Linked DNA regions of Macaca fascicularis. The protein of the gene in region 2 purifies or fractionates together with the protein of the main gene of each other region. This does not show direct contact. Links are inferred from orthologs where the notes say so. Each region holds a gene or a part of one and is shown on either strand. Other genes may lie near its edges.

Region 1 (6,459 bases), about 84 Mb from region 2:
AGGAGTTCAATGGAGTTCAATGTAGTAGGCAGAATATCTTAAACTGTGCAGAAGAGTGAAGGAAACCCTACAAAATAAAGGAGGATGCCTTCTGATCTCCTGTCCCCGTTGCTGACACCTCCGCCGTAACGTCTACCTGCTTTGGTGAGGATGTTCTCATCAGCTGATGAGTAGTCGGTCTCTGAGGCTTCATCTTCTGAGCCTTCCTCATCATTCCCTTCAAGGTCTTCCTGCTCTTTTGGTTCAGAGCCCTCCTTTGTTTCCTTCTCCTCCAACTTCCCAGACTTGGCTTCTTTAACCTGGGAAAAAAAAAATTAAAGCGACGGTGATGACAAACTTCTACAGATCCAGAACTTAAGTAAAGCAACAGGAAGCTCTCCGGCCTGAACAGACGGCTGTGGGGATTCTCAGTACTGATGCACAGCAAACGCACAGAAGAGCGTGCTTGCCCCAGCCATGCCCCGCTCTGTAAGGGCTTCCAGAGAGATGCTGGGGTCGCGGTGAGAGTAAAGTGTGGGGCATAACAACGAGAAATAGCCACTTTTCCTCTCACCTCTGTTTTCCTTTTCTTTCGAACTTTCTCAATCTTCTCATCTAATGTAGTGGCTGCCCTCTGCAGATAAAAATAAAGAGGTGAAAAGAAATTTTCATTGAAACATCGAATAAGAGAACAAATTCTTCATAATTAATTTGAAAAAGAAAAAATGTTGGCATTCTCTGAAAATATATATACATATTATATATACAAAAATTTTAAAATCCTCTCCAGATGATCTTGAAAAGGCAATGCTGGTAAGGCTGAGCGCAGTCGCTCACGCCTGTAATCCCAGCACTTTGGGAGGCTAAAGCAGGCAGATCACCTAAGGTCGGGAGTTCGAGACCAGCCTGACCAACATGGAGAAACCCCATCTCTACTAAAAATACAAAATTAGCTGGACATGGTGGCACATGCCTGTAATCCCAGCTACTCAGGAGGCTGAGGCAGGAGAATCCCTTGAATCCAGGAGGCAGAGGTTGCAGTGAGCCAAGATCGCACCATTGCACTCCAGCCTGGGTGACAGAGTGAGACTCCATCTCAAAAACAAAAAAAAAAAAACACAAAAAATTAGCTGGGCGTGGTGGTGGGCACCTGTCATCCCAGCGACTCGGGAGGCTAAGGCACAAGAATCACTTAAAGCCAGGAGGCAGAGGTTGCAGTGAGCCGAGATAGCGCCATTACACTCCAGCCTGGGAAACGGAGAGAGACTCTGTCTCAAAAAAAAGAAAAGGCAATGCTGATTTATTTCAATCAGAACAAGGACCAGCAAAGCCTGGATTACACTGTTCTGGACAGGCAATCTTTCTCTCTGATGCACATGAAATGGTAAATAACTTGGATGCATCTTCTAGTTTAACCAGATTCACAGAAAGGCATGGGATCTTGGCAAACAAGCAGATGACAATGACATCTGTGGTAGCTTTGGCTGTGCTGTGTGGGCAGGGACACTGCACAGTGACACCACAGGAGACACCTGGCAAGTGCTCATACTTCATTTGGTATTAATCAAGACGAGTCTTCCCCAGCAAGCAGACTCAAAAAAAAAAAAAAAAAAAAAAGACAGTGAGTCATTTGTGATCTCATCAAAAGTATACCAGATACTTTCTTTTTTTTTTTTTTTTTTTAAACCAGTTATTTTCAAAGGAGTTCTAGTATCTGCTGAATGTAAACAGATGGTCAGTCAGGTCAGGACTAGGCCCTGAAACCCACAGTCCAATCTTAATAGTCCAAGGTCTGGAACTGTCCATCACTGTCAGACTCACCTTCTTCTTTAGTTGGCTCATGACATCAGCCAGGGCCCAGCTGCCATCATAAGTCCCCTCCTTCTCAGTGAAAACAAAGTCAGGATTGAAATCAGCACTGCGGTTCTTCCCCAAGGCTTTTTGTCGTCTGCCCAGCACAATAGGCCCCTGGGAAGAGTAAGAGACAGAGTGACTTTGGGGCTGAGATAAAGAACAATAGAAAGGAAGAAGGGGACAGGCACAGTGGCTCACACCTGTAATCCCAGCACATTAAGAAGCCAAGGCATGTGGATCATTTGAGGTCAGGAGTTCCAGACCAGCCTGACCAACATGATGAAATGCAGTCTCTACTAAAAATACAAAAAAGACAGGCATGGTGGCTCACGCCTGTAATCCCAACACTTTGGGAGGCCAAGGTGGGCGGATCACGAGGTCAGGAGCTCAAGACCAGCCTGGCCAATATGGTGAAACCCCGTTTCTACTAAAAATACAAAAATTAGCCAGGTGTGGTGGCACGCACTGGTAGTCCCAGCTACTCGGGAGGCTGAGGCAGGAGAATTGCTTGAACACGGGAGGCAGAAGGTGCAGTGAGCCAAGACTATACCATTGCACTCCTGCCTGAGCAACAGAGTAAGACTCCATCTCAAAAAAAATAATAATACAGAAAAATTAGCTGGGCGTGGTAGCGCATGCCTGTAATCCCAGTTACTCAGGAGGCTGAGGCAGGAGAATTGCTTGAGCCCAGGAGGCAGAGGTTGTGGTGAGCCAAGATTGCACCAGCCAGTAGGCCGCCTGCGCCCACAGGGGACATCAGGGAAATGGGGGCAGTGTGCAGGACCCACAGGCTGCCTGAGGAGTCTCTGCAGAGTGGACAGGCCTGGGGCTCTCTACCAGCAGGCTGGAGAGTTTTAAGCAAGGGAGGTCTCTAACGTGACTGTATCACAAAGAGATCCTTCTGCTGCTAAGCGAAGAATACACTGGAAGTGCTCAAGATAAAGAAATGAAGTATGTTTGGACTGGTGGTGTGCTGGTGTGCTGGTGTGCAGGCATGAGACAGCAGTGGCCGGAGCTAGGGTGGGTACAGTGTGAATGGAGAGAGGCGGGAGAAGCTTAAGAGAGATTCATGAGCTAGCTTGCAGAGCACTGGCGGCGCTGAGGAAGAAAAAACTGTCAAGAATAACTCTAAGGTTGCTGGCTTGAGAAGGGAACAGGATGAGAGCGAACACAAGTTCAACTTTGGAGGAGTTGAATTTGTAGAGGCCATGGGACATCTGAATAAATGTATCAAGCGGACAGATGAGACTGCAGAAGGGACAACATCTGGGCTGAATGTTTGAAGGGCAAGCATCCTTTTCAGAACACCGATCCCTCTTTAATTGCCATACTGCTTAATATCTGCAAGCCCCCACACCACCATACGCTTCAGAAGAGTGGCACTCACCTTGTTCATTGCTACGTCCCCAACGCTTAACACTAGGTCTAGCACACATAAGTATACAATAAACACTGGCTCGATGAACATATGAATGGACAGCTAACCACGGCTCCTTGAGCAGGAACCAGGGCTGACTTCACCTCTTACAAGGTGTAAGAGACCTGCATGTCTCTTACACAGTGCGTGGTTAAATATCAATTCAGTGAATGGATACTGAGTTCAGCAAGGAGACAGGGAACGACACGGCCAAAGAAGCAGGCGGACGTAGAGAAAACCTAGTCGCCGGAAAACTGAGGAAGATCTTGGGGTCCCGGCGAGATCCTTTTAGGGAAACTTCCCGGGCTGGCAGGCGATGATGAGGATTCGGGGACAGGGACCTGAGGAATCGCGGGGAAGAGAAGCAGTCAAGGAAGCCCAAAGACCAGAACCGTCCTCATACCTCTTCTTCCTCGTCACCAGAGTCAGACTCGGGCTCCACCGGCACCTCGTCATCCTCGCCTATGGTCCCGATTAAGCCGAGGTCTGCAAGCATGTTGTCGCAGAAGCCACTTCCGGAAGCGAGCACAGCGTGCGGGCCAGCACTTGACTTTTTACCACCTCCTCGTCGTCATTGCGCATGTACCATGCGTCACTTCCGTTCGAGAGCCCCTGCCCATCTCCCCGTTTCGACCTCTTAAGAGTGCGCATGCGGCAATCTGGGGCGTAGTTTCGTATGACGACATCAAGGGGAGGGGATTTTTTCGGTAAGCAAATTCCACGGTCTCCGGCCTCAAGATGGTGGAAATGTTTGAGGAAAGTGCAAGGGGTGAGAGAGGCTAAAGAGTTGCATTTATAAACTCTAGATGTGGATATTTATATTAAAAAAATGTAGAAGAAAATACAATAAGCAGTTAGCTGTGATTGTTTCTGGGTGGTAAAATTCTAAGTAATTTTTTTTTCTTTTTTTTCTTTTCTTTTCTTTTTTTTTGAGGCAGGGTTTGGCTCTGTCCCCCAGGCTGGAGTGCAGTGGAGATAATGGCTCACTGCAACCTCGACTTCCCGGGCTTAAGCGATCCTCCCGCCTCAGCCTTCTGAGTAGCTGGAAGTACGGGCGCCACCACCATGCCCGGCGGAGTTTCACCATGTTGCCCAGGCTGGTGTCGAACTCCTGGGTTCAAGCAATCCTCCTGCCTCAGCCTCCCAAACTGCTGGGATTACAGGTATGAGCCACTGCGCCCAGCCCGAAACTTTTTAATGAAAATTAATGTTTATTATAGGGGAAAAAAAAATCTCAGAAGAAAATAAAAATCAAGGCCGGGCGCGGTGGCTCAAGCCTGTAATCCCAGCACTTTGGGAGGCCGAGGCGGGTGGATCACGAGGTCAGGAGATCGAGACTATCCTGGCTAACATGGTGAAACCCCGTCTCTACTAAAAATACAAAAAACTAGCCGGGCGTGGTGGTGGGCGCCTGTAGTCTCAGCTACTTGGGAGGCTGAGGCGGGAGAATGGCGTGAACCCGGGAGGCGGAGCTTGCAGTGAGCCGAGATCACCCACTGCACTCCAGCCTGGGAGACACAGCAAGACTCCGTCTCAAAAAAAAAAAAAAGAAAATAAAATAAAAATCAAGACCAAAGTGGCTCACACCTTTAGTCACAGCACTTGAGGAGGCCAGGTGGGTGCATGGCTTGTGCTCAGGAGTTCCAGACAACACTGGGCAACATGGCAAGACCCCATCTCATATATATATATATATATATATATATATTTTTTTTTTTTTTAAATTAAAAATAATGTTGGCTGGGCGCGATGGCTCATGCCTGTAATCCCAACTCTTTGGGAGGCCAAGGCAGACGGATCACGGGGTCAAGAGATCGAGACCATCCTGGCCAATATGGTGAAACCCCGTCTCTACTAAAAATACAAAAACTAGCTGGGCATGGTGGCACGTGCCTGTAATCCCAGCTTATGGGAGGCTGAGGCAGGAGAATTGCTTTAACCAAGGAGTTGGAAGTTGCAGTGAGCCAAGATGGTGCCACTGCACTCCAGCCTGGTGACAGAGCATGGTTGGGCATGGTGGCACACGCCTGTAGTCCCAGCTCCTCAGGAGGCTGAAGCAGGTGGATCCCCAGAGCCCAGGTTAAGGCTGCAGTGAACTATGATCGCGCCACTGCCCTCCAACCTGGGTGACTGAGCGAGACCCTTTATTTCAAAAAATGAAGAATGAATGACTATGTGTTGTATTGAATACATGGAGACCTCCCCACCACCCTCACTGCCGTCCTTCCTTTCTCGATCGGCCAGTAACTACCACACAGGTCTTCTAGACTTATCCCCTCCACTTTCCTCTCCTCGAAGCAGCCAGAACAAAGTCTTTAAAATGCAAAAAGTGCGGGGGCTCATGCCTGTAATCCTTAGGAGGATTGATCCTCGTAAGGAGGATCCTCATGCCTGTAAACTTAAGGAGGCCAAGGTAGGAGGATTGTCTGAGCTCAGGAGTTTGAGACGAGCTTGGGCAACATGATGAAAACCCATCTCTACTAAGTACAAAAAAAACTACTAAAATACAAAATACAAAAAAATAATAATAAAATGCAAATGAGATCCAACCACTCCTTTATTTAAAATCTAGTTTAAGGATCACAACATCAAAGACCAATGTAGAATCAGGGACATCAAAACAATTTTAATTCCTTTAAATCAGGAATTTCTCCGTCTTGGCTGTGGGGGCTGCCCTGTGCATGGTAGGATGGTAGGCAGCATCCCTGGCCTGCACCCACTAAATGCCAGAGGCACCCCTCTCACCCATTGTGATAACCTAAATTGTCTCCTAATTATCACGGTTGAGAACCTGCTGCTTTAAGTAGAATCCACACGCTCAGCTCATCCTCTCATCCTAGATCTCTCTGCACCCTGGGAGCACCACACTCTTCACACATTTATGCTTCCTGCGGGCCCTAGAAACATTTTAGTTTGTTTGGGTAGCTTAAACAATAGACATGTATTTTCTCACAGTTTGGTAGTCTAGAAGTCTGAGATCAAGGTATCAGCAGGGTTGGTTTTCCCAGGGCTCCCCCTCCACTTGGAGATGGCCATCTTCCCTCTATGTCTTCACTTGGTGTTCTCTATGTGCATAAGACCTAAGTCCTTTTCTTTTTTATTTTTATTTTTATTTATTTTTTTTTTTTTGGTGTGTGTGACACGGTCTTGCTCTGTCACCGAGGCTGGAATGCAGTGGCACAATCACAGCTCACTGCAGCCTCAATCTC
Region 2 (5,778 bases):
CTGTCATCCCAGCAGCAGGGGACACAGAAGGCTTATCTTCGCCCTGGAGCAGCTAATAGGGCAAAACAGGGCAAAGAACTGAGGCCCAGACAGAAGCACCGCAACTCTTGAGCGGTTCTGCCCCCTAAAACCATGGAGGCCAAGCCAGCCCAGCTGGCTCCCAGGACGCAGCAGGATGTTCCGAGCAACATGAAAATCAGTAGTGATCACCATGAGTGCCGGGTGTGCCCATGACTCTCAGCTGTTCTGCTATTCTGCTGCCAGACAGTGACCTGTGCTGTGAAAGCACACAGGGCCAAGGGAAGTCCCGCCTGTCCCCCCACTCACACCTCCATCCTTCCATGAGAATCTGTGAGGGCCCCTGACAGGCACATCAGGGGACCAACCACATTTCCCACAGCCCAGCACTGAGCAGGGGGCCCCCGACCCTACAACCAGCCTGACTTCCACAGCTATGAACCCAACCCTGGCTGCTCACAGGAGGGGCACAACTGGGCTCCGCTACGACCTAGTGCCAGTCCTCCCCATCTGCTGAGAGGAAGCAACGGCTGTGAACTGGCCGGGGAGGAAAGGGGAATGGGTGGCTGGCTCCCTTCTCCCAGGGCCAGCTGTGTGGAGGCCAGCCTGCCCCAGGGCCCTGTTCACCAGCAGGGAGGACACACAAAGAGCAGTCTGAGTAGCATGGGGGCAGGACGTCAGAGAGATGGAAGGCCCAAGAGGAAGGCAGGAAGGAAGGAGGAGGAGAGAGGGCTGTGGAGGGGAAGAAGGAAGGGCCACCCATGCGTGCCCCATGAGGGGTGGGAACAGGGACTGCTGAGGGCCAAGCCCGCCTCTCACCGGCAAACAGGCCACAGCCTCACCACCAGGCAGCCAGTTAGGGTGGGTTCCAGCCCTTGCAACCCCACCCACAAGGGATCGTAAGGAACAGTCCAGAGCGCCTAGAGCCCCAGCTCCCCCTGGAGCCCCGATAATCTGGACAGCAGAGCCACTGTGCTAACTGGACCAGCAGCGGCTGCTCTCCACTGAAGGCACCAGTTCCCACTCAATGATCAAGCAAGGTGGGCTAAATGCAGGCCACCAGCACAGGGAGGCAGGAGAGGCTGGCCCCACCACCTGGGGGGCACTAGAAGCTAATGATGCCTCCATGAGGGGGCAAAACCAGGGTTTCTCTCAGTGGATCCCTGCCAACAATTCCCAGGATTTCAAATGGATAAAGAAAAAGGCTGGGCTCTGCGGCTCACGCCTATAATCCTACCACTTTGGGAGGCTGAGATGGAAGGACTGCTTAAGCTCAGGAGTTCAAGACCAGTCTGGGCAATGTAGTGAGACCCTATCTCTATTTTAAAAGAAAGAGAAAACAATATGTATAGGAAACAGTGCCACATGCTAAGTGCTTCTCCTGTGCTCACCGTTCCCCTTCTCTCCCAGTCCTTGAGTCCTGTGGGGCAGACAGGCGGGAAGGGGGAAGCAGAGGAGGGAGGCAAGGCCACTTGGCCAAGGTCTGGCAGTTATTGGCAGCAAAGCAGGGACAAGGACCCCAGTAGGTTTGAGGGCAGGGCTCTGCCACTGTCCCCATGTGGTGCTGGACGTGCAGGCCGGGTATGACCCTGGTAGCTGTTCTCACTGTTCACTCGGCCCCTAAAAGGCCAAGCACCAGGCACTGTTAAGGACGTAGACACTGTTAACTGCGGCACAGAGAGGTGAAAGGAACACGTCCAAGGGCATACAGCTGCCAGGTGCTGCCACAGGACTAGCTTAGGTTCCTGCTCTTAATGAGGATGCTGTGTGGCACATTCCCCATCTTGTTCTGCCCCACCTCACCCATCGTCAACAGTTGGGAACCCAGCACTTGCTAGACTCCATGAACAGCAAAATCCCCCTTCCTCCACACTTGTATCTGTCTAGGAGGCAGCACAAGCCCCTCCCCTCCCGACAGGCACACTCACATCATGGGAGAAGGCATAGGGAGTGATCCACACAATGGGCTGCCCCAGCACCTCGGCCTGGTAGTAAATGCCTTTGATGGACAGGAAGACCTGTGGGAGAGGAGACAGCTGGGTGAAGACCATGGTGGGCAGGAGAGGGCGTGGGGTGGGGTGCCCGCCAGATGGTCACAGGCTCACCTTGCGCAGGGCACGGGCGGCAATAATGTAGTGCATGAACTCCACAGTGAGCCGGCGGCACAGCTGAATGGTCTGCACGTGGCACTTGCCAGTCCGTGGGAAGGTGGAAAAGAGGAAGCACATGGAGAGGGCATCATCCAGGTCCCGCAGGGCATCGATGAATGTGGGGTACCTGCACAGCCAGTGGGGCAGCACATGGGGCCTGTTCAGCCTGGGTACCAAGGGGGGGCCCTGATCTCCTTACCCCACCCCAGATGCCCCATTCCTCAAGCCAGGCCTCACCACTGCCACCTCCTGACCTGGCAGGAGCAGCTTCCCCACATCTGACCACAGTCCTTGGGAGGAACCACTTAACCAGGACGTGCCCACTAGGCTCTGAGGACCAGAGAAGTCCTGATGGGGATCCTCAAGACACCCATTGCTCACCAAAGACCCAGCCTTGACCCACGTACGTATTTTGTGGTGCATGAAGGTAGACGGAGTCAGGGCCTCCATGACTGTCTTTGAAGGTGAACATTTAGTGCACGGACACTCTATAGAGAGGTCCAAGATGGAAAATGGGAAACCAAAGCTGCCCTAGTGGAGAAGGGAGCGGGGTGGGGGCTGCTTCCCCTAGGCAGCACTTATGTCTAGGCCTGGCCACAGGTCGCCAGCGTAGGTTCTAGCTTCCATGCTTCTCACCCCTTGGACCTGTCTAGTTGGCAGAACCAATAAGACCCAGGGAATTGGGTCCAGGAAGAGCCAGAGCAGAATGTGTTTCGGGGAATCTTGTGGTAAATGACAAAGCCAACACGGAGGAGCCACCCCGGGCACTGTGTGGCTGCCCTGTTGAGGGACAGAGGCATGGGTCACAGAGAAGACATGGAACCACAAGCAACGACACCTGGATTCCAGTCTTGGTCCGAGCTGTGACCCAGACTCTTCATTTACGACTGGGCTCTTGCAGCTCCCTAGAAATGCCTTGGGCCCAAGTGGACGGACAGAGCTTCAAGCTTCTCTCCCGCAGCCAGAGCAGCTGCCAGAGACGCTGGCATCCAAACTGCCTTCCAGGAAGCTACCTTTTTAAAAATCATTTTTGTTACTTTTCCTATTTTCTTTTTTCCAAGTGCTTCTTCAAGGAGAAGCAGCTTCCTTTTGAAGTATGGGTTCTGGCTGGGGGTTGGGCGGGGCAGCGGGAGGGGTGCAGTTTAAAAAAAAAAGAGAGAGAGAGAATGGGTTCTGCTACTTCAAAAAAGACTCCAAAATCCATGAGACCAGACACTGCCAAGGTCCTTCCAGCCCCAGATGGCATCACTTACTGCTACGAGTCAGAAGTCTACCAGGTCTTCAAACCCATGCCAAGATGGAAGAAAGGCCTGCAGAGACCTCTCATGAGGCAGCAGGATAGCTGTCTGGTTTCTTGGTGCAGAGGTGACAGCCTCAATTGGCCCTCTCTGGTGCCTTGTAGTTTCCTAACTCTCCACCTCACAGACAAAACCAACAACCCAGGCTTTCTGTAGAAACAGCGCCAGCATTTCCGGGCCAACTGCTTTTCTTTCTTAAGCTCTGGCTTTAGCTAAGGAGCTAGAGATGGTGTAAAATGAGATCACCACAACCACACCGTCACACTTGATGTGTGTGTATGAACCCAGGCACTTGCTTTTCGTGTGTGGCTTTTTTTCGTTTATTTCACCGAACACTGTGTGTCACAGGCAGGACAGGAACTGCCATCATCTCTTATGGAGGTGGGGACCTACTCGGGTTAAGAAATACCCTCTGGCCACCCAGCGCATGTGCCACACAGTTGGGATGGGAACACCGGCCGTCTAGCTCCTAGGCCAGGGCTCTTCCTGTGACAGCCCACAGCCAGGCTGGATGAAGCCAACCCGAGCCATCCTGGAGCTCAGTGTTCCTGGGCCATCAGCCCCCAAAGATGACAGACATTCACCAGCCCAGGGCTTCTGAACTTTACCACTACTGACATTTGGGTCAGACTACACTATGTTGTAGGGGACTACTATAGCGCATTTAGTGGCATCACTGGCCTCTCTCCACTTGATACCAATAGCACATCCATCCAAGTTGTGAGAACCAAAAGAGTCTCCAGACATTGCCAAATGCCCACTGGAAAAGCAAGATCACCCCTGATTAAGAATTGCTGATTTAGGCTGGATGTGGTGACTCACACCTGTAATCCCAGCACTTTGAGAGGCCGAGGTGGGTAGATCACGTAAGGTCAGCCTGGCCAACATGGTGAAACCCAGTCTCTACTAAAAACACAAAAATAAGGCAGGCGTGGTGGTGGTGCCTGTAATCCCAGCTACTCAGGAGGCTGAGGCAGGTGAATTGTTTGAACCTGGGAGGTGGAGGTTGCAGTGAGCCGAGATCCCCCCGCTGCACTCCAGGCTGGGCAACAGGGCAAGACTTTCTCAAAAAACACACGAAACAAAATTTGCTGATTTAGTTAGTGAATGAGGGGGACGTCTGAGAAGGCTGGGCAAGGAACAGTTCAGACCAGAAGTGTCTAGCCGTGCTTCCCAGGTCTCACCAGGTACCCGCCGTGCAGCCATGGGGCGCTGGGGCTCTCCCACCACAGGGCCTCTGCACTTGCCACGGCCTCTGCTTGGACTGTGCTTCCGCTGGCTGGCTCAGACGTCTCCCCTCAGAGCCCTGTCTGACAGCCCTGTAACTACAGACCTAGTAATCATTCTAGAAATTTGCTAGCTTGGTTTTTGGTCTGTGTCCTTCAAGGAGATGCAAGCTCTTTGAGCTGGGTCTTAGTCTTGTTCCCTACTGAATCCCTGGTGCTAGGACAGAGACCAGCAGTAAATGAAGAAACTGCGGTGTCCCGAAGACGGCCTGGCTCACCGTTCCTTGATGATGTGGTCAAGTTTGTAGTTCGGCTTATTGTCCTTTAGACGCTCTACAGTGTTCCACTCGCTCTTCCCATAGGCCTTCCGGAGCTTCCGGACAAACACCTGAAGGAAAGGAAAAGACCACTGATGCTGAGGCTCAGGACTCCTGGACAACTTCTATGGAAGATGGAAACGCAGGGCAGAAGGACTCTCATGCCCCTTGAAGCTGGCCATGGCTGTGTGCCTGTGTCACCGACCCCTCTGCCCAGGATATGCAAAAAAGCCAACTCCAAGGAACACCAAGCCTGGTGTGTTAACCAGCAGAGCTAGACCGGGCACCCTTTTTGACAATGCACAGGTGTCCCAACTCCACATGTTTACATGGGAGGACGGCACAGCAAAGCAGCTCCATTTTTCTTTTTTTTTTTTTTTTTTTTTGAGACGGAGTCTCGCTCTGCCACCCAGGCTGGAGTGCAGTGGCCGGATCTCAGCTCACTGCAAGCTCCGCCTCCCGGGTTCACGCCATTCTCCTGCCTCAGCCTCCCGAGTAGCTGGGACTACAGGCGCCCGCCACCTCGCCCGGCTAGTTTTTTGTAGTTTTTAGTAGAGACGGGGTTTCACAGTGTCAGCCAGGATGGTCTCGATCTCCTGACCTCGTGATCCGCCCGTCTCGGCCTCCCAAAGTGCTGGGATTACAGGCTTGAGCCACCGCACCCGGCCTCCATTTTTCTTTCTTTTTTTGAGACAGAGTCTCGCTCTGTTGCCCAGGCTGGAGTGCAGTGGCCGGATCTCAGCTCACTGCAAGCTCCGCCTCCCGGGTT
Region 3 (6,480 bases), on a different chromosome or scaffold from region 2:
CTTTTAAAACAGTAATTCATGAGTGACAACTGATAGAGCTTATTTCCCCGTGTTCTACAATGCAGGGCAAAGCAGTATTCTCTATTTTCATATAAGGGAAAAATGAAAAACCAAAGTAAAGGTGGAGTTGAGTAAACTTGGGAATTACTGGGAAAAATAATTAACAAACAAAAAATTAGTTTGCATGATATTAATCAATGCTTACTAACAAGCTTCCTTAAACTCAACGCCAGCATTTGCCTGCAGGTGTTAAATATTTGCTAAAGGAAGACATACACCATATACACTTGGTGCTCTGCATCCGTGATTTAACCAACCCCAGATGGAAAATACTTCTGAGGAGCACATACACAGTGGCTCACCTGTAGTCCCAGCTACTCAGGAGGCTGAGGCAGGAGGTTCTCTTGAACCCAGGAATTCAAGGCTGCAATGAGCTATGATCCTGCCACTGCACTTAGTCTGGGTAACAGAATACCTCATTCTTTTTTTTTTTTTTTTTTGAGATGGAGTCTCGCTCTGTCACCCAGGCTGGAGTGCAGTGATGCGATCTCGGCTCACTGCAACCTCTGCCTCCTGGGTTCAAGCAATTTTCCTGCCTCAGCCTCCCAGGTAGCTGGGATTACAGGTATGTGCCACCACACCTGGCTAATTTTTATATTTTTAGTAGAGATAGGGTCACCTTGTTGGCCAGGTTGGTCTCGAACTCCTGACTTCAGGTGATCCACCTGCCTCAGTCTCCCAAAGTGCTGGGATAACAAGCGTGACCCACCATACCTGGCCAAAGACCCCACTTTTTTTTTTTTTTGAGACAGGGTCTCGCTCTGTCACTCAGGCTGGAGTGCAGTGGCACAATCTTGGCTCACTGCAACCTCCGCCTCCCGGGTTCAAGCAATTCTTCTGCCTCACTTCCTGAGTAGCTAGGATTACAGGCACATGCCACAGCGCCCGTCTAATGTTTTGTATTTGTAGTAGAGATGTGGTTTCACCATGTTGGCCAGGCTGGTCTCGAACTCCTGACCTCAAGTAATCCACCTGCCTCGGCCTCCCAAAGTATTGGGATTACAGGCGTGAGCCACTGCGCCCTGCTGACCTCTTAAAAAAAAAAAAAGAAAAAAAAAAGAAAAAAAATTCGGGAAAAAAATGAAAAAAAAAAAAAAACAGTAAAAAGTAATACAAATTTTAAAAATACATTATGTACACTGTATTAGCTATCAGTAACCCAGGCCAGGCAGGGTGGCTCAGGTCTATAATCCCAGCACTTTGAGAGGCCAGTGGGTGGATCACTTGAGGCCAGGAGTTTGAGACCAGCATGGCCAACATGTTAAAACATCTCTACTAAAAATACAAAAATTAGCCAGTGGCCATGTGGGGTGGCTGATGCCAGTAATCGCAGCACTTTGGGAGGCCGAGGTGGGTAGATCACTTGAGTCCATGAGTTCCAGACCAGCCTGGTCAACATGGTGAAACCTCGTCTCTACTAAAAATACAAAAATTAGCAGGGCATGGTGGCACATCCTTGTAATCCCAGCTACTCGGGAGGCTGGCGCAGGAGAATCGCTTGAACCCGGGAGGCGGAGGTTGTGGTAAGCCGAGATCACATCCCTGTACTCCAGCCTGGGAGACAGGTGAGACTCTGTCTCAAAAACAAAACAAAATTAAATTAAATAAAAAAAAAAATTAGCCGAGTGTGGTGGCTAATTTAGCTAAAATTAGTCACATGCCTGTAATCCTAGCTACTTGGTTGACTGAGGCAGGAGAATTGCTTGAGCCCAGTAGGCAGAGGTTGCAGTGAGTCGAGACTGTGTCACTGCACTCCAGAACACAGTGAGACTCTTGCCTCAAAAAAAAAAAAAAAAAAAAAAGCTATTAAGTAATCCAAAGAGAATTTAAATTACATAGGCGGAAGGAGTACAGATGATATGCAAATACCACAACCATTTTATATAAGGGACTTCAGCAGTCTCAGATTTAGGCATCTGTGGGAGTCCTGGAACCAACCCCCTAAGGACACTGAGAGACAACGATACCTGGTTTGTCAAACTGTTGCGGGGAGCTCGTAAATACCAAATGTAGTCCAACACATGCTGGATAAAACTCACCTAATACAAATTCTAATTACTTTATCTTGGTTCCCCACCATTACCTCCTTCTTTGCCAAAAGTGCCTGCTTTGCCTGGGTGGCTTTGAGGGCTTGATAAGCCTTCCTCTTTTTCAGCAGATTTTCTGGAACCAAAGGGATTTTTCTTTGCCTGATGCAGAAAATTGAGATCAGAGATAACATTTAGAAAACGAACACTTGAGGCCGGGCGCGGTGGCTCAAGCCTGTAATCCCAGCACTTTGGGAGGCCGAGACGGGCGGATCACAAGGTCAGGAGATCGAGACCAGCCTGGCTAAATACGGTGAAACCCCGTCTCTACTAAAAAATACAAAAAACTAGCCGGGTGAGGTGGCGGGTGCCTGTAGTCCCAGCTACTCGGGAGGCTGAGGCAGGAGAATGGCATAGACCCGGGAGGCGGAGCTTGCAGTGAGCTGAGATGCGGCCACTGCACTCCAGCCTGGTCGACAGAGCAAGACTCCGTCTCAAAAAAAAAAAAGAAAAAGAAAAAGAACACTTGGCTGGGCGCGGTGGCTCAAGCCTATAACCCCAGCATTCTGGGAGGCCGAGGTGGGGGGGGGATATCACCTGAGGTCAGGAGTTCGAGACCAGCCTGACCAACATGGTGAAACCCCTGTTTCTACCAAAAATAAAAAATTAGCTTGGCGGGGTGGCGCACGCCTGTAATCTCGGCTACTCCGGAGGCTGAAGCAGGAGAATCGCTTGAATCCGGGAGGCGGAGGTTGCAGTGAGCCGAGATTTCGACACTGCACTCCAGCCTGGGCGACATAGCAAGATTCCGTCTCAAAAAAACAACAACAACAACAAAAAAAACGAACATTCAATGGATTTCCAAACCAAGTCAATATCCTGGGCTTCAGGGAACATTACTGTTTTCAAGTGTCTGAAGAAAGATTCCCCTGAAACCTGCGGTTTCTGACTCCAGGCCTCAAAATGTACCCCTAATATTCACTCATCCCCAATGCCTCAAAAAGTAAAGAGCCCTTTAGCCTCTGCGTTCCTGTAAGTTAACAGGATTTTCACTGCCACAGCTCTTCATAGGCACTAGCAGCGACGAATCTAGTAAAACCCCATGGGGTTGGGGTGGGTGCAGACCTATCTGCAGGGTTAATACTTGTCAGGCTGGGTGAATTCAACTGTGGCACTCCAGCCCGCTGCCTGAAGTCAATCCTCGCCTCTCTAGATAACCCGAAATTGACCGCGGTCCCCTCCCTCCTCCGCCACAGCGCTACGGCTTCTCATCCCCACCCTTTGTAAACTGTGGCCTTTTCTATTCCTAGAGCCCACAAGAATCCGCCACCGAGGCATAAACACCGTGGATGGCACCAGATACTCAACACCCAATTCCAGATATTCAAAGCCCCACTCACTCTTGCTCCGCCATCTTTCTAGTGGTGCAGCTACTGATCATGCGCAACCCCAACACATGCGGAAGACAGCACTCGCTCTGTTTCCTTGACCATAGAGATGTCTGTTCTAACTCACGCTGGAGGACCCAGACAGTCAGCGGTCACTTAGCCGCAGTGAGCCGCTGAGGTCCTGCTAACCCCGATTCCTGCCAAAAGTTGCAGCGCTTCCAGGGTTTTTAGAGCCTGTATCATTTTCAAAACCCAGCCCTTTTTTTTGTAAGTTACAGTTTCATCACAAACAGCTTGGCTGTGGACAATGAAGTGCTTCCCACAATGCACCTATGGCGTCCGCTCTAGCGAAGGCGCCGCACTTCCGGCGCGGCTCTGCTGCGTCTCTGAGGAGGAAGACAGACAAATTGCGGGAAACCTTTTCGCTCTGTGGAAAAATTTGGAGGCTATGGTTTTGGCTCTCACATGTAGGTGCAAGTGTTTATTGAGGACTTAGAGTGGTAAAACAGGTAGCTGCGATTCCGTCAGCTTGGCTCCGTCGATGGATCCTTGAAGACGTTATTTAACCCCTCTGTACTGCGGCTTCATTACCCATAAAATGGGTATACAGTAATAATAGGTCTACCTAATGGCGTTACGAGGATTACAGGAGATTATATAAAGCGTAAAGCGTTTAGCAGTGTCTGTCAGCACTATGTTTGTTACTATTACTGCTGGACCGAAAACTACAACTTGCTTCCTTGCCATCTAAAACCGTTATACAGACCGGGCGCGGTGGCTCACGCCTGTAATCCCAGCACTTTAGGAGGCCAAGGCGGGAGGATCACCTTAGGTCAGGAGTTCGAGACCAGCCTGGCCAACATGGCGACAGAGCAAGACTCCGTCTCAAAAAAAAAAAAAAAAAAAAAGGAATGAAAATAAAACCCTTATACAGCTGTCATCACCTGGAATATGCATTCTTCCCTCCCGGTCTATATAAAATCCTGAAAAAGTAGGCCGGAGCCGGTGGCTTTCACCTGTAATCCCAGCACTTTGGGAGGCCAAAGCAGGTGGATCACTTGAGGTCAGGAGTTGGAGACCAGCCTGGCCAAGATGGTGAAACCCCGTCTCTACTAAAAATACAAAAAATTAGCTGGGCGTGGTGGCTCGCGCCTGAAGTCTCGGGAGGCGGAGGCTGCATGAGCCCAGTTTGTGCCACTGCACTCCAGCCTGGGCGACAGAGCGAGAGTGTCTCAAAAAAATAAAAAAATAATTTTTTTAAATTAAAAATCCTGAAAAACAACACAAGTCTTATCTCCGCAAACCTCCAGAGCAGCGCTTCTCAAGCATTAATAGTGAATAGGAGTCATCTGAAGATTTTACTAAAATACAGATTTTTATTCAGGAAGCCGGGTGGGGAGTTGATATTCTGCATTTTTTTTTTTTTTTTTTGAGACGGAGTCTCGCGCTGTGTCACCCAGGCTGGAGTGCAGTGGGGCGATCTCGGCTCACTGCAAGCTCCGCCTCCCAGGTTCACGCCATTCTCCTGCCTCAGCCTCCGAGTAGCTGGAACTACAGGCGCCCGCCACTACGCCCGGCTAGTTTTTTGTATTTTTAGTAGAGACGGGGTTTCACCATGTTAGCCAGGATGGTCTCGATCTCCTGACCTCGTGATCCACCCGCCTCGGCCTCCCAAAGTGCTGGGATTACAGGCTTGAGCCACCGCGCTCGGCCTTTTTTTTTTTTTTTTTTTGAGATGGAGTCTTGCTTTGTCCCCCAGGCTGGAGTGCAGTGGCATGATCTCGGCTCTCTGCAAGCTCTGTCTCCCGGGTTCACGCCATTCTCCTGCCTCAGCCTCCCGAGCAGCTGGGACTACAGGCGCCCACCACCATACCTGGCTAATTTTTTGAATTTTTCGTAGAGACGGGGTTTCACCGTGTTAGCCAGGATGGTCTCGATCTCCTGACCTTGTGATCCGCCCGCCTCAGCCTCTCAAAGTGCTGGGATTACAGGCGTGAGCAACTGCGCCCGGCCAATATTCTGCATTTTTAACAGGCTTCAGAATGACACTGGTGCTACTGGTCTATGGGCTGACTAGTAAGACTCTAGTGTCTGATTTCCCTCAGGACATTATTATATATTTAATATTTCTTCCACACGATACTAGGAGGTCAGGAACCATGACTGCTTGCTCATCACTGATCCTAAGGGTCTAGCACCAATTTCTCGATTTTGGCACTATTGATACTGATACTGGTGGCAGCTAAAGGCCTCGTGTTGCCATGTAACTAGTCCAACCGGAAAGACTGCCATGGGCACAGGTCACTTTCTGATGAATAAGTGTCAGGACAACCCAGTATTCAGGGTCACACACTGAAAGAGGGAGGCCCATTCTCTTTCAGCACCTCACCGTGTGTCTTTGTAAAGAGGCAAAATACAAGGGTCATCAAAGTGTAAGACATTCACTAAATAGTAAACAAAAAAGCAAAAAGTTAAATGTTTTGTGATTTTTCCTGTCTATGGATAAAAGGTAGAGTCTGTGGTATCAATAATATTAAAGGGAGGAGGAATTTTAGGGTTAACAATACTCCAGCCGGGCCCCGATGGCTCACACCTGTAATCCCAGCACTTTGGGAGGCTGAGGCGGGCAGATCACTTGAGCTCAGGAGTTCAAGACCACCCTCAGCAACATGGCAAAACCCTGTCTCTACTAAAAATATAAAAATTAGCCGAGCATGGTGGCATATGCCTGTAGTCCCAGCTACTTGGGAGGCTGAGGCACGATAATTGCTTGAACCTGGGAAGCAGAGGTTGCAGTGAGCCGAGATTATGCCACTGTACTCCAGCCTGGGCAACAGAGCCAGACTCTGTCTCAAAACAACCCCCAAAAAACCAGTACTGCAAGGCTGAATGGGATCGAGGCCAGGATTCAGGAAATGGTTTTCTACTGCCAGCAGATGGTGCTAGGAGAATACTTATTCTCAGCGCCAACGCCATTACTCCACCAGACTGACACAGGGAGAAAG
Region 4 (5,778 bases), on a different chromosome or scaffold from region 2:
CCACCTCATTTCTTAAAATTTCTGGTTTATATAAGGTTCTAAACCAGGGATATTCAAACTGAGCAACTGACTATCTCCTACTGTATGAGTATTTACTCTTGCTTTGAAATCCTATCTTTTGTCACCGATTGTTAGGAAACTAGGCCAACACAATGAATATATGTAAAAAAAAAATGTTTAGGAACAAGCTCCAATACTAATTTAACACAGTACTAATTACATTCCAGCTACTTACTTTAGTTCCTGAGCCATCAACAGCTACAGAATCTACACTTCCAGCATGACCTCTACAGCAGTGTAGGGCTTTCACTTTGTTTCTCTCTACATTCCACTCCCATAAAAGAATAGTCTGATCCATAGAAGCACTCAATAATAAGCAGGACAAACTATCTGAAGAAAGGAGAACACAAGAATAAGAAACAAATCAGTACACCATTTAGAATACATCATGTTCTGAAACCGAAGAACTAAATTTTTTTGTTATTGAAAAAGATGTTAAAAAGATAACTCATATATGGCCAGGTTTTAAAAGGCTGATATGGTATAAAGAAAAGATTTTTTAAAAATAGAAGATGATGGCTGGGTGTGGTGGCTCACGCCTCTAATACTGGCACTTTGGGAGGCCAAGACAAGCGGATCACTTAAGGTCAGGAGTTTGAGATCAGCCTGGCCAACATGGCAAAACCCTGTCTCTAGTAAAAATACAAAAATTAGGTGGGTGTGGGGGCAGGCGCCTGTAATCCCACCCACTCAGGAGGCTGAGGCAGGAGAACTGCTTGAACCTGGGAGGTGGAAGTTGCAGTGAGTTGAGATTGAGCCACTGCACTCTAGTCTGCGTGACAGAGTGAGACTCTGCCTCAAAAAACAAACAGGCCAGGCGCGGTGGCTCAAGCCTGTCCCAGCACTTTGGGAAGCCGAGGCGGGTGGATCACGAGGTCAGGAGTTTGAGACCAGCCTGGCCAACATGGTGAAACCCCATCTCTACTAAAAATACAAAAATTAGCCGGGCGTGGTGGTAGGCGCCTGTAGTCCCAGCTACTCGGGAGGCTGAGGCAGGAGAACCGCTTGATCCTGGGAGGCGGAGGTTGCAGTGAGCCGAGATCATGCCACTGCATGCTAGCCTGGGTGACAGAGCGAGACTCCATCTCAAAACAAACAAACAAGAAGAAAATAGATGAATGTAATACACTCAATATTAACTTGAGGCCAGGCGCGGTGGCTCAAGCCTGTAATCCCAGCACTTTGGGAGGCTGAGACGGGCGGATCACAAGGTCAGGGGATCGAGACCATCCTGGCTAACACGGCGAAACCCCGTCTCTACTAACAACACAAAAAATTAGCCGGGCGAGGTGGCGGCGCCTGTGGTCCCAGCTACTCGGGAGGCTGAGGCAGGAGAATGGCGGGAACCCGGGAGGCGGAGCTTGCAGTGAGCTGAGATCTGGCCACTGCATTCCAGCCTGGGCGACAGAGCGAGACTCCGTCTCAAAAAAAAAAAAAAAAAAAAAAAAAAAAATTAACTTGAAAATGTATATTATCTGATGCAATTTTAATAAATATTCACTTCTAACAATTTATGAATTTTTATATAATCTTTTTCTTCTTGAACACTATATTTTTTGAAAGACCTCATAATAACTGAGGTATGAGATGCTTCCTACCCACTCCCCATTCTTCCCCAGCACCAAAAATGGCTTATTTCCAAATCTCTATCTAGGATTCCTCGAAGTGTAAGGAAAATGTCCTAACCTTTTTTCACCCAGGCCACATCTTTTACAACATCCGTATGTCCCACAATTGTCATTATTGACTTTCCTTCCAAGGACCAGATCCGAGAAGTCTTATCATAAGAACCAGTCAAGATCCTATGAAGAGAAAAGAAATCTTATGAAACAGAAAAAGCAGTTTTTTTCAAACCCTGAAAATGAATTTTGTTTCTATGGCAATGACAAAGTAACTTTGAGGAGTATACTTTTAAACTCTTCTTTGATATGAAGATTGAGATTTCAAAACACACTAGATCAGATCACTTGATGTTTCTCAACCTCCTAAAAATAATACCTGGCATGACTGGGCGTGGCGGCTCAATCCTGTAATCCCAGCACTTTGGGAGGCCGAGACGGGTGGATCACGAGGTCAGGAGATTGAGACCATCCTGGCTAACACGGTGAAAACCCTGTCTCTACTAAAAATACAAAAAATTAGCTGGGCGTGGTGGCAGGTGCCTGTAGTCCCAGCTACTCAGGAGGCTGAGGCAGGAGAATGGCGTGAACCTGGGAGGTGGAGCTTGCAGTGAGCCGAGATTGCACCACTGCACTCCAGCCTGGGCAACAGAGCGAGATTCCGTCTCAAAATAAATAAATAAATAAAAATAATAATAATACCTGGCAAATCCTAGATTTCCTTTTTTTTTTTTTTTTTTGAGATGGAATCTAGCTCTGTCACCCAGGCTGGAATGCAGTGGCGCAATTTTGACTCACTGCCACCTCTGCCTCCCAGGTTCAAGAGATTCTACTGCCTTAGCCTCCTGAATAGCTGGGATTACAGGCACCCACCACCACGCCCCGCTAATTTTTTTTGTATTTTTAGTAGAGACGGGGTTTCACTGTGTTGGCCAGGCTGGTCTCGAACTCCTGACTTTGTGATCCACCCGCCTCGGCCTCCGAAAGTGCTAGGATTACAAGCGTGAACCACTGCGCCTGGCCGATTTCATTTTTATATTGTTGTAAATAATACAACTCTCACAAAAGCTACGCAAATTACTTGTAGGCCCTAACACAGGTTGAGCATCCCTAATCTGAAAATAAGTCCAAAATTCTCCAAAATCCAAAACTTTTTGAGCACCAACATGACACCACAAGTAGAAAATTTCACACTTGACTTCATAATGACAGGCTGTAGTCAAAATGCAGTCAAAATTTTGATTCAGGCACAAAATTATTAAAAACATTGTATAAAATTGGCCGGACGTGGTGGCTCACGCCTGTAATCCCAGTACTTTAGGAGGCTGAGGCGGATGATTCACGAGGTCAGGAGATCGAGACCATCCTGGCTAACATGGTGAAACCCCATCTCTACTAAATATACAAAAACAAAATTAGCCAGGCGTGGTGGCAGGTGCCTAGACTCCCAGCTACTCGGGAGGCTGAGGCAGGAGAATGGCCTGAACCCGGAAGGCAGACCTTGCAGTGATCTGAGATCGCACCACTGCACTCCAGCCTGGGCGACAGAGCGAGACTCCGTTTAAAAAAAAAATACATATATATATAAAAAATATATAAAATATATATATTATATATTATATATTATATATACATAATATAAAATTACTTTTGGGCTAGGTATATAAGCTATATATGAAACATAAATGAATTTCATGTTTAGACTTGGATCACGTCCCTAAGATATTTCACTATGTATATGTTAATACTGCAAAACTACCCCCCCCCCAAAAAAAATCCTAAATCCAAAACACTTCTGGTACCAAACATTTCCAGATAAGGAATACCCAACCTGTAGTGCTCTTTTTTTTTTTTTTTTTTTTTTTTGAGACAGTCTTGCTCTGTTACCCAGGCTGCAGGGCAGTGGTGTGATCTCAGCTCACTGTAACCTCTGCCTCCTGGGTTCAAGTGCTTCTCCTGCCTCAGCCTCCCGAATAACTGGGACTCTGGGCATGGACCACCATACCCGGCTAATTTTTTATATTTTTCGTAGAGACAGGTTTCAATATGTTGGCCAGGCTGGTCTCAAACTTCCGATCTCAAGTGGTCTACCTGCCTTAGGCTCCCAAAGTGCTGTGATTACAGGCGTGAGTCACGCGCCTGGCTGTCAACCTGAAGTACTTTGTACTCAACCAGTGAAAACCATTTAAACTAAAACTAGTAGAAACATAACTTTATGTAATAACTCCAGGGAGATGTTCTCTGAAAGAAGTAAGCTCCTACTATAATCTACTCTTGAGGTGTTTTCCTAAACGCAAGGCCAGTGAGGATTTGCCCTGAGATATCTATACCTTCTTTCTTGAGTACAGTCTGCTCTTTCTAGCCCTAAAAGAGCATGCTATGCATCTTTATGGTATTAGGCCAGGAGATCTATGGCTAAAAAGGTTACTTTTTTCCTCTATGAAACAAACTATATCCTTGGTCTTAAAAGCAACATAATCAAACCAAATAAATTAAATGCTCTAAGATACACGACTTATTCAGAAGACAAACATAGATAGGTGTAGAGAAATCCCATCTATTCAGGAGGCTGAGGCAGTAGGACTGCTTGAGCCCAGGAGTTTGAAACCAGCCTGGGCAACAGAAGGAGAACCCGTTTAAAAAAAAAAAAAAAAAAAAAAGACAACAGTAATTGTTACTATTACATCTTGAACAGAACAGAGTATCCATTAATAAATACCTGTTTCTTTTTTTTTGAGACGGAGCCTCGTTCTGTCGCCCAGGCTGGAGTACAGTGGGGCCATCTTGGCTCACTGCAAGCTCCACTTCCCAGGTTCGTGCCATTCTCCTGCCTCAGCCTCCCGAGTAGCTAGGACTACAGGCACTTGCCACCATGCCCGGCTAATTTTTTGTATTTTTTTTAGTAGAGTCGGGGTTTCACCATGTTAGCCAGGATGGTCTCAATCTCCCGACTTCATAATCCACCCGCCTCAGCCTCCCAAAGTGTTGGGATTACAGGTGTGAGCCACCGTGCCCGACCACCTGTTTCTTCTTGAAGACACTGAGTGCAAAGATCTTTCTGTTTGGCGTGGCCACTGATATAGAGATCACAAAATTAATTTACAAATAACAGTAAATCACAGAAAAATATTTATATATGGATTTAAAAAGACTGAAGGAGGTAAATGAAAAAAGAGAAGAGCATTAATCTGGCAATACCATTCCTCTGCCCCTTTAATTGAACTGATCCAGTCATCATGGAACATGCATTGCTCTGGCTGGGGTGCAGTATACTTCTCCACGTATTCTATTTCCACAACTTCTTCCTAGTCACAAGAGAAACCAGCAACAAGTCAGATGGTACAGTTTTAAAATACTACATTATGAAGATAAAGAACCCCAATTTAATATATCTCCTTCATATCCTTCATATTAGTCCCCTTCATAACTCAGCAAATTTGGAGCCATTCAAAAAGTCAAGAACTTTATTTGACCTAACAGTAAGCTAAGAGTGATTATTAGGAAATAATAGCTTGGCATGGTGGCTCACACCCGTAGTCCTACCTATAAACATTAGGAAATCTGGGGCAGGAGGACTGCTTAAGCCTAGGAGTTCAAGTCCAGCCCAGGCAACAAAGCAAGACCTGTCTCCTAACAAAAAATTTAAAAGGAAGAAATACTAATGGCCTTGTAAAACTTATGCTGAAAACAGGGGGAAAAAGAATATAAGAAAGCCTTAGGCCAGGTGCAGTGGCTCACACCCGTAATCCCAGAACTTTGGGAGGCTGAGGCGGGCGGATCACCTGAGGTCAGGAGTTCAAGATGTGCCTGGCCAACATGGCGAAACTCCATCTCTACTGAAAATACAAAAATTAGCCAGGCGTGGTGGTGGATGCCTGTAATTCCGCTGCTTGGGAGGCTGAGGCGCAAGAATCACTTGCACCCAGGAGGCAGAGGTTTCAGTGAGCCAAGACTGTGCCACTGCACTCTAGCCTGGGCAACAGATGGAGACTCTGTCTCAGAAAAAAAAAAAAAAAGAAGATATAAGAAAACATTAAAATTAAGAATAAAAGCATATTGTTTAATGGGTACAGGTCTTCTGTTCAGGATAAGGAAACAA
Region 5 (5,259 bases), on a different chromosome or scaffold from region 2:
CATACACATAGAAACAACACAACTTTGTATTTTAATGGAAAGAGGATTATGCTATATATTCTACCACTTTTTTAACCTTAGCATTTTAATCGTGGTAAACACATAATGTCACTACTCTTATCTCTTTAATGTCTATGTAAGGTTTATTTAGTTCTTTGCTTAACAAACACATAGTTCTGACTATGTGCCTTCCACTGTTATGCCTTACAAAAATTTAATTTTCATAACTCTGAGGTAGCTACTATTCTTCTTCCTGTTTTACATGTGGGAAAACTGAGGTCCGGAGAGGTTAAGTGTCTTGTCTTGAGTAGCAGTGCCAGTCAGTGGTAGAAGTGATATTCAAATGTAGGCAGTCTGGTTTTTCTGTTTCTCTTGATATAGGTTATTTCTTTTTTTGCTATTACAAATGATGCTATAGTGAATATCTTTTTGTATTTATCTGATGTAATTATTTCTATCAGATTTCTAAAAGTGGGATTGCAAGGTGAAAAGAATATTGTTTTCTTTTGCAAGATAACATTTTAAAGACAAAGATAAAATTTTTTTTGCAACTTTTGTTCTTACGATATAAACTTAAAATTGTTTTTTATTAAAACTAGGTGTAAACACTTTACACCTAAAGAGCTAAAGCTCTTCTTATACAACTATAAATTTAAATGCAAATACAACTACAAACCAGTAACACCTTTTACATTAACAATGTTAATTTAACCAATTCTTTTTATGTGACATTTTTGCAGACTTTCCCCAAAACAGATCTACTGCTTGACAGTGAATCTCAGGGAAGTGGAGTTTTCCTTCCTGAACTGGATGAGCCTGAATACTGCAATGCTCAGAACACTGCTCTGTGGGAACTACACGCTCTGCGGGTAAGAGTGGCCCTCGTTTTTTTCTTTTTGGGGATGTGTGTGAACAATTGTTTTCCAGTTTTTCTTCAAATAGTTGTTATTGCCAGAGTACTTAATTATATTTTGTTCTGGGGCTGCTTTTTTTTAGAATTCCTGTGTTAGTATGCTACATTTTACTTTGCTCTTACTATTTTTTAAGCTGTTGAGGTACATTTTCTAAGGAAGCAGAAAACTGTCAGTTCTGTGGGGTGAGGTTGTGGAAGATTTACTGAAATCTTTCCCTTTATTGAAATCTTTCCCTAACACTCTTCAGAGGATTTGTTAGCAGGTGCATTTCTGTTGAGTCCTATCCTAGGAGACTTTAGTAAGCCCTGTTTCAAGATGGTTTCACCTATACAGTGATCCTACAGTGTGGACAACATTAGAGTGAGACTTGTAGAAAATAGAAGTGGCAGGTAACCTGTTGTAAATTAACTTTTTTCACTCGGAAAGAGGAATTGCTTTTTGATTTTTCTATTTATATTGTAAAAGCAAGATAAACTACTTCACTGGTAACTTGATTTGTGTTTTAATCCTATGAGCAAAGATAATATTTCTGTGGCTATGTGCTTCTAATGAATTACATATACTGTACATAGGTGATGAAAAAAAAATTTGGTGTACTTTCATTTAAGAAAATCTTTGCTGTGGCTAGTGTTTTTTTGTAAAGGACTGACCTGTGCAAAATGTGATTGTCCTGTTTCCCCTTCAGAGGCATTATCATCCCATAGTGCAGAGATTTGCAGCCCACCTGATCGCTGGAGCACCTTCTGAAGGCTCTGGAGCACTCAAACCAGAGTTGAGTCGAAGGTAATATTTAGCATTGCCTTATTCTAAAACTACAAAATTCAGCTGGTAGCCACTTACTATGAGAAGTCTGTTTTATAAAGTAATATATTACACAATGTAAAGTGCCAGTTGGGTATCTGGGTTGGTCTTGCTTCATATTCCTGAATTGTTCTGAAAGAAAACATGCTATGATTTTGTTAATCACTTAAAACATTTTTTTTCTTCTTATGTCATTCAACTTGAAAAACATTTTTTTAATCATGAAAAGTTTCACACATACAGGAGAGTAGAATGGTATAGTGAATGTCCATATGCCCCCCATCACTCAGGTTCAACAATGAATAATCTATGGCTATAGGTGCTTCATGTGAAGATAAAACACAAGTCAACCAAATTAAGTTTCCTTGCTTTCTTGCTGTCTCTTTTTTTTTTTTTTTTCTGAATGGTCCTGTTAGGGCAAGAAGAGGAGAAAAAAAACAGTGAGGATAGGGAAGAAAAGAGGTGCTTTGGAACACTGCCATCCAGAAGGGCAGCTGTTTCTTTTTTTGGCCCTTGCAGACTACCTTCTGACCTGTAAGCAGCTTGGATGGGTACTTCCAGCACCCACCTCACACCCAGATGAGGAAAAAGTCCTCCTAAAAGAATCTTCTTTTCCCTGAACTGTTGATTTAGAAAATTTTCACAAGTGCAGAAAGGTGAAAAAATAATAGTTACTTTTTTTATTTTTTTGAGAGGAAGTCTCGCTCTGTCACCCAGGCTGGAGTGCAATGGCGCGATTTTGGCTCACTGCAACCTCCGCCTCCCGGGTTCAAATGATTCTCCTGCCTCAGCTTCCCGAGTAGCTGGGATTACAGGCACCCGCCACCATGCTCGGCTAATTTTTGTAATTTTTGTAGAGATGGGATTTCACCATGCTGGCCAGGCTGGTCTCGAACTCCTGACCTCAGGTAATCTGCCCACCGTGGCCTCCTACAGTGCTGGGATTACAGACATGAGCTACTGCGCCCAGCCAGTAATTACCTTTTTTTACATACAGACAGGAAATACTTCAGTTATACAGAGAAAGAGAGAAAATGGTATAAAAAATCCCTCAGTCCATTTATGGTGCCATAAAAAATGCCTAAGACCGGGTAATTTATAAACAACAGAGGGCCAGTCTCGGTGGCTCACACCTGTAATCCCAGCACTTTGGGAGGCCGAGGCGGGTGGATCACCTGAGGTCAGGAGTTTAGGACTAGCCTGGCCAACATGGTGAAACCACATCTCTACTAAAAATACAAAAATCAGCCAGGCGTGGTGGTGGGTTCCTATAGTCCCAGCTACTTGGGAAGCTGAGGCAGGAGAATTGCTTGAACCAGGGAGGTGGAGGTTGCAGTGAGTCGAGATCTCGCCATCGCACTCCAGCCTGGGCAACAAGAGCGAAACTCTGTCTGAAAAAAAAGAACAGAAATTTATTTTCTCACAATTTTGGAGGCTGGAAGTTGAAGATCAGGGTGCTGGTAGGTTTGGTTGACTGATGAGGGCGCCTCTCTGCTTCTGAGGTGGCGTCTTGTTGCTGTGTCTTCTGGAGGGGAGGAACCCTACACCCTCACATGGCAGACAGGACAGAAGGGGAGCAGGGCCACAGCTTAAGTTCATGAAGCCTCTTCTATAAAGACTTTAACCCATTTATGCCAGAGGTGGCAAATTTTTTTGTGTGTGAAAAATCAGACCTTGGGTGATGACCTTGAGCAGTAGGATATAAATAACTCCTACAAGCTTAGGACAGTAGTAGGCATAAATGGGTTAATCCCATTCATGGCTTTCATCTCTTAAAGCTTTCACCACTTAATACCATCACACTGACTGTTAAGTTTCCATGTCTGAATTTTGGAGGGGACACATTCAAACTACAGCACCTTACAGTGTACTTATTACCCAGAATTAATATCTTGCTGTAGGTTTTTTCCTTTTGCAAGCCCATTGGTTTCTATAATTCAGAGATCTCAGATTGGTGACCTTTGGGCCAGGCTGATTTTTCTGGCCTCAAGAGTTTGAAAAAAATCAAATTAGTTGCTGTCTTTTAAATATTGAAAGAATTCATCTGAAATTCACATTTCCTGCTTTTCTTGAAATACTGGGAGGTTTGGTGACATTGGCTTGTATTTTACATGACAGTAGTCAGTCATTTGCTGCCTCCTCTACATGAGGCAAGAGCTCTGCAGTTTTCCATGAACGCTTTCCTTCTGAGTAGGGTGGAGATAACTTTTGTCCTTATTAAATAAAATGGCCATTTACTTTTTCTTCCCTCACACTTCTCACCTGTCCCCAGTCTTCACCCCAACAGCCTTGTTTTTTAAAAGAGGAAAAAAGAAGAAAACAATTCTTTGTCACTCTTCATAATCGTTATATGACATGTTTTCCTTAGCAGTTTTGCTAAGGAAAGATGTTTCCTTTGTGGAGAAGCATGAGGAATGGGCTTATCCCAAAGGCTTAAGAAAGGAGACTCATAGTGGGCTTCTGGAGAATGGGTATTGGGATGTGAGCCTAATTGCTACCCTCGTAGGCCCTTGCCTATCTGTTTTGGAGAGTGTGAGCTAATTCCAAGTCATTAAGGGTTCATTTACACGCCATGGGTATAGACATGTATTCTGTCCTGAATGGCCTTTCCTTGTTTTTTATCCAGGCCAGTAGCAAAGAGTTGAGCTGTGTTCTAAGTCTATGGAGAATGACTCCATGCTTCAGTCCTCTGGCTCCCATGACTAAGATAGACTCAGTTGCATTATCAGTGGGTTGGGATTTGATCACACTGAACTGAAGTTCTTCAGCTTAGCTTTCTCTCTGGAGTCTATGCCTGTATTGCTAATGTATACCAAACCTCTCTGAGGTGGATTTAGTTGGATAATGTTGACATTACGTGGGAATTTAGAATTTGTTAAGTGACTGGGTTGGTTGGTTAGTTTCAAAAGCAGGACTATCTTATACCTTAATAAATGGGTTAAGAATGAATCATTCTCTGAGTATAATCTAATTATTTTTGAGTTACACAGATGTGGTGGTATCTTTACATTTGTGTTTGTGATTTAGATCTGCTGCTGAACTTTTTGAGGCGTATAGCATGGCAGAAATGACATTCAATCCTCCTGTTGAATCTTCAAACCCCAAAATAAAGGTATGGGATATTTTTCATTTTTTTAAAAGAAGAGATAGAAACCAATGTATCTCAATAACTCTAACTCCAGTTTGCTTAGTTATTTTATAGGCAGTTTATTTTTATTTTTATTTTTAATGTTTAGGAGTTCATCATAGGATGGATATTTGAGGTTGAAATTCTACAGAGATGGTCATGAAACTGTTTCATTCAATATAGGATATGTCCAAGACTTACCAAGCATCTGTCATTGTGTTGCATGTGTTGGTGTCAGCTGTTGCCATTTTCAACTTTGTTCACAGGTTGACTTTAGCTTATAGCATAAGTAATTTCTAACTCATACTTTAAATATTTTCCCAGGGTAAAGTTTTACAGGGGGATTCATTTTTGAATGAAGATTTAAATCAACTAATCAAAAGATACTCCAGTGAAGTTGCTACTGAATTGCCTCTG

What was found.
Region 1: the proteins of PES1 (region 2) and DDX27 purify together in Homo sapiens (affinity purification with mass spectrometry; 4 studies listed by BioGRID and IntAct, counting the BioPlex papers as one, with this or other methods). This does not show direct contact. The link is inferred for Macaca fascicularis from reciprocal best matches to the Homo sapiens genes PES1 and DDX27.
Region 3: the proteins of PES1 (region 2) and RPL7L1 purify together in Homo sapiens (affinity purification with mass spectrometry; 4 studies listed by BioGRID and IntAct, counting the BioPlex papers as one, with this or other methods). This does not show direct contact. The link is inferred for Macaca fascicularis from reciprocal best matches to the Homo sapiens genes PES1 and RPL7L1.
Region 4: the proteins of PES1 (region 2) and WDR12 purify together in Homo sapiens (co-immunoprecipitation; 7 studies listed by BioGRID and IntAct, counting the BioPlex papers as one, with this or other methods). This does not show direct contact. The link is inferred for Macaca fascicularis from reciprocal best matches to the Homo sapiens genes PES1 and WDR12.
Region 5: the proteins of PES1 (region 2) and NOC3L purify together in Homo sapiens (affinity purification with mass spectrometry; 3 studies listed by BioGRID and IntAct, counting the BioPlex papers as one, with this or other methods). This does not show direct contact. The link is inferred for Macaca fascicularis from reciprocal best matches to the Homo sapiens genes PES1 and NOC3L.

The regions. Positions count from the first base shown.
Region 1 is NC_088384.1:105,297,937-105,304,395, reverse strand, and holds the start of DDX27 (probable ATP-dependent RNA helicase DDX27), read right to left. Parts: upstream 3,780-6,459; 5' UTR 3,747-3,779; coding exon 3,654-3,746; intron 1,948-3,653; coding exon 1,801-1,947; intron 614-1,800; coding exon 554-613; intron 300-553; coding exon 137-299; intron 1-136. UniProt on the Homo sapiens protein: Probable ATP-dependent RNA helicase. Component of the nucleolar ribosomal RNA (rRNA) processing machinery that regulates 3' end formation of ribosomal 47S rRNA.
Region 2 is NC_088384.1:21,080,072-21,085,849, reverse strand, and holds part of PES1 (pescadillo homolog), read right to left. Parts: intron 5,081-5,778; coding exon 4,971-5,080; intron 2,296-4,970; coding exon 2,124-2,295; intron 2,037-2,123; coding exon 1,947-2,036; intron 1-1,946. UniProt on the Homo sapiens protein: Component of the PeBoW complex, which is required for maturation of 28S and 5.8S ribosomal RNAs and formation of the 60S ribosome.
Region 3 is NC_088378.1:128,658,471-128,664,950, forward strand, and holds the start of RPL7L1 (ribosomal protein uL30-like), read right to left. Parts: upstream 3,802-6,480; 5' UTR 3,529-3,801; coding exon 3,488-3,528; intron 2,250-3,487; coding exon 2,144-2,249; intron 1-2,143.
Region 4 is NC_088386.1:98,767,005-98,772,782, forward strand, and holds part of WDR12 (ribosome biogenesis protein WDR12), read right to left. Parts: intron 4,985-5,778; coding exon 4,878-4,984; intron 1,863-4,877; coding exon 1,747-1,862; intron 391-1,746; coding exon 236-390; exon of another isoform or gene 5-235; intron 1-4.
Region 5 is NC_088383.1:103,103,050-103,108,308, reverse strand, and holds part of NOC3L (nucleolar complex protein 3 homolog), read left to right. Parts: intron 1-740; coding exon 741-869; intron 870-1,599; coding exon 1,600-1,697; intron 1,698-4,742; coding exon 4,743-4,827; intron 4,828-5,166; coding exon 5,167-5,259. UniProt on the Homo sapiens protein: May be required for adipogenesis.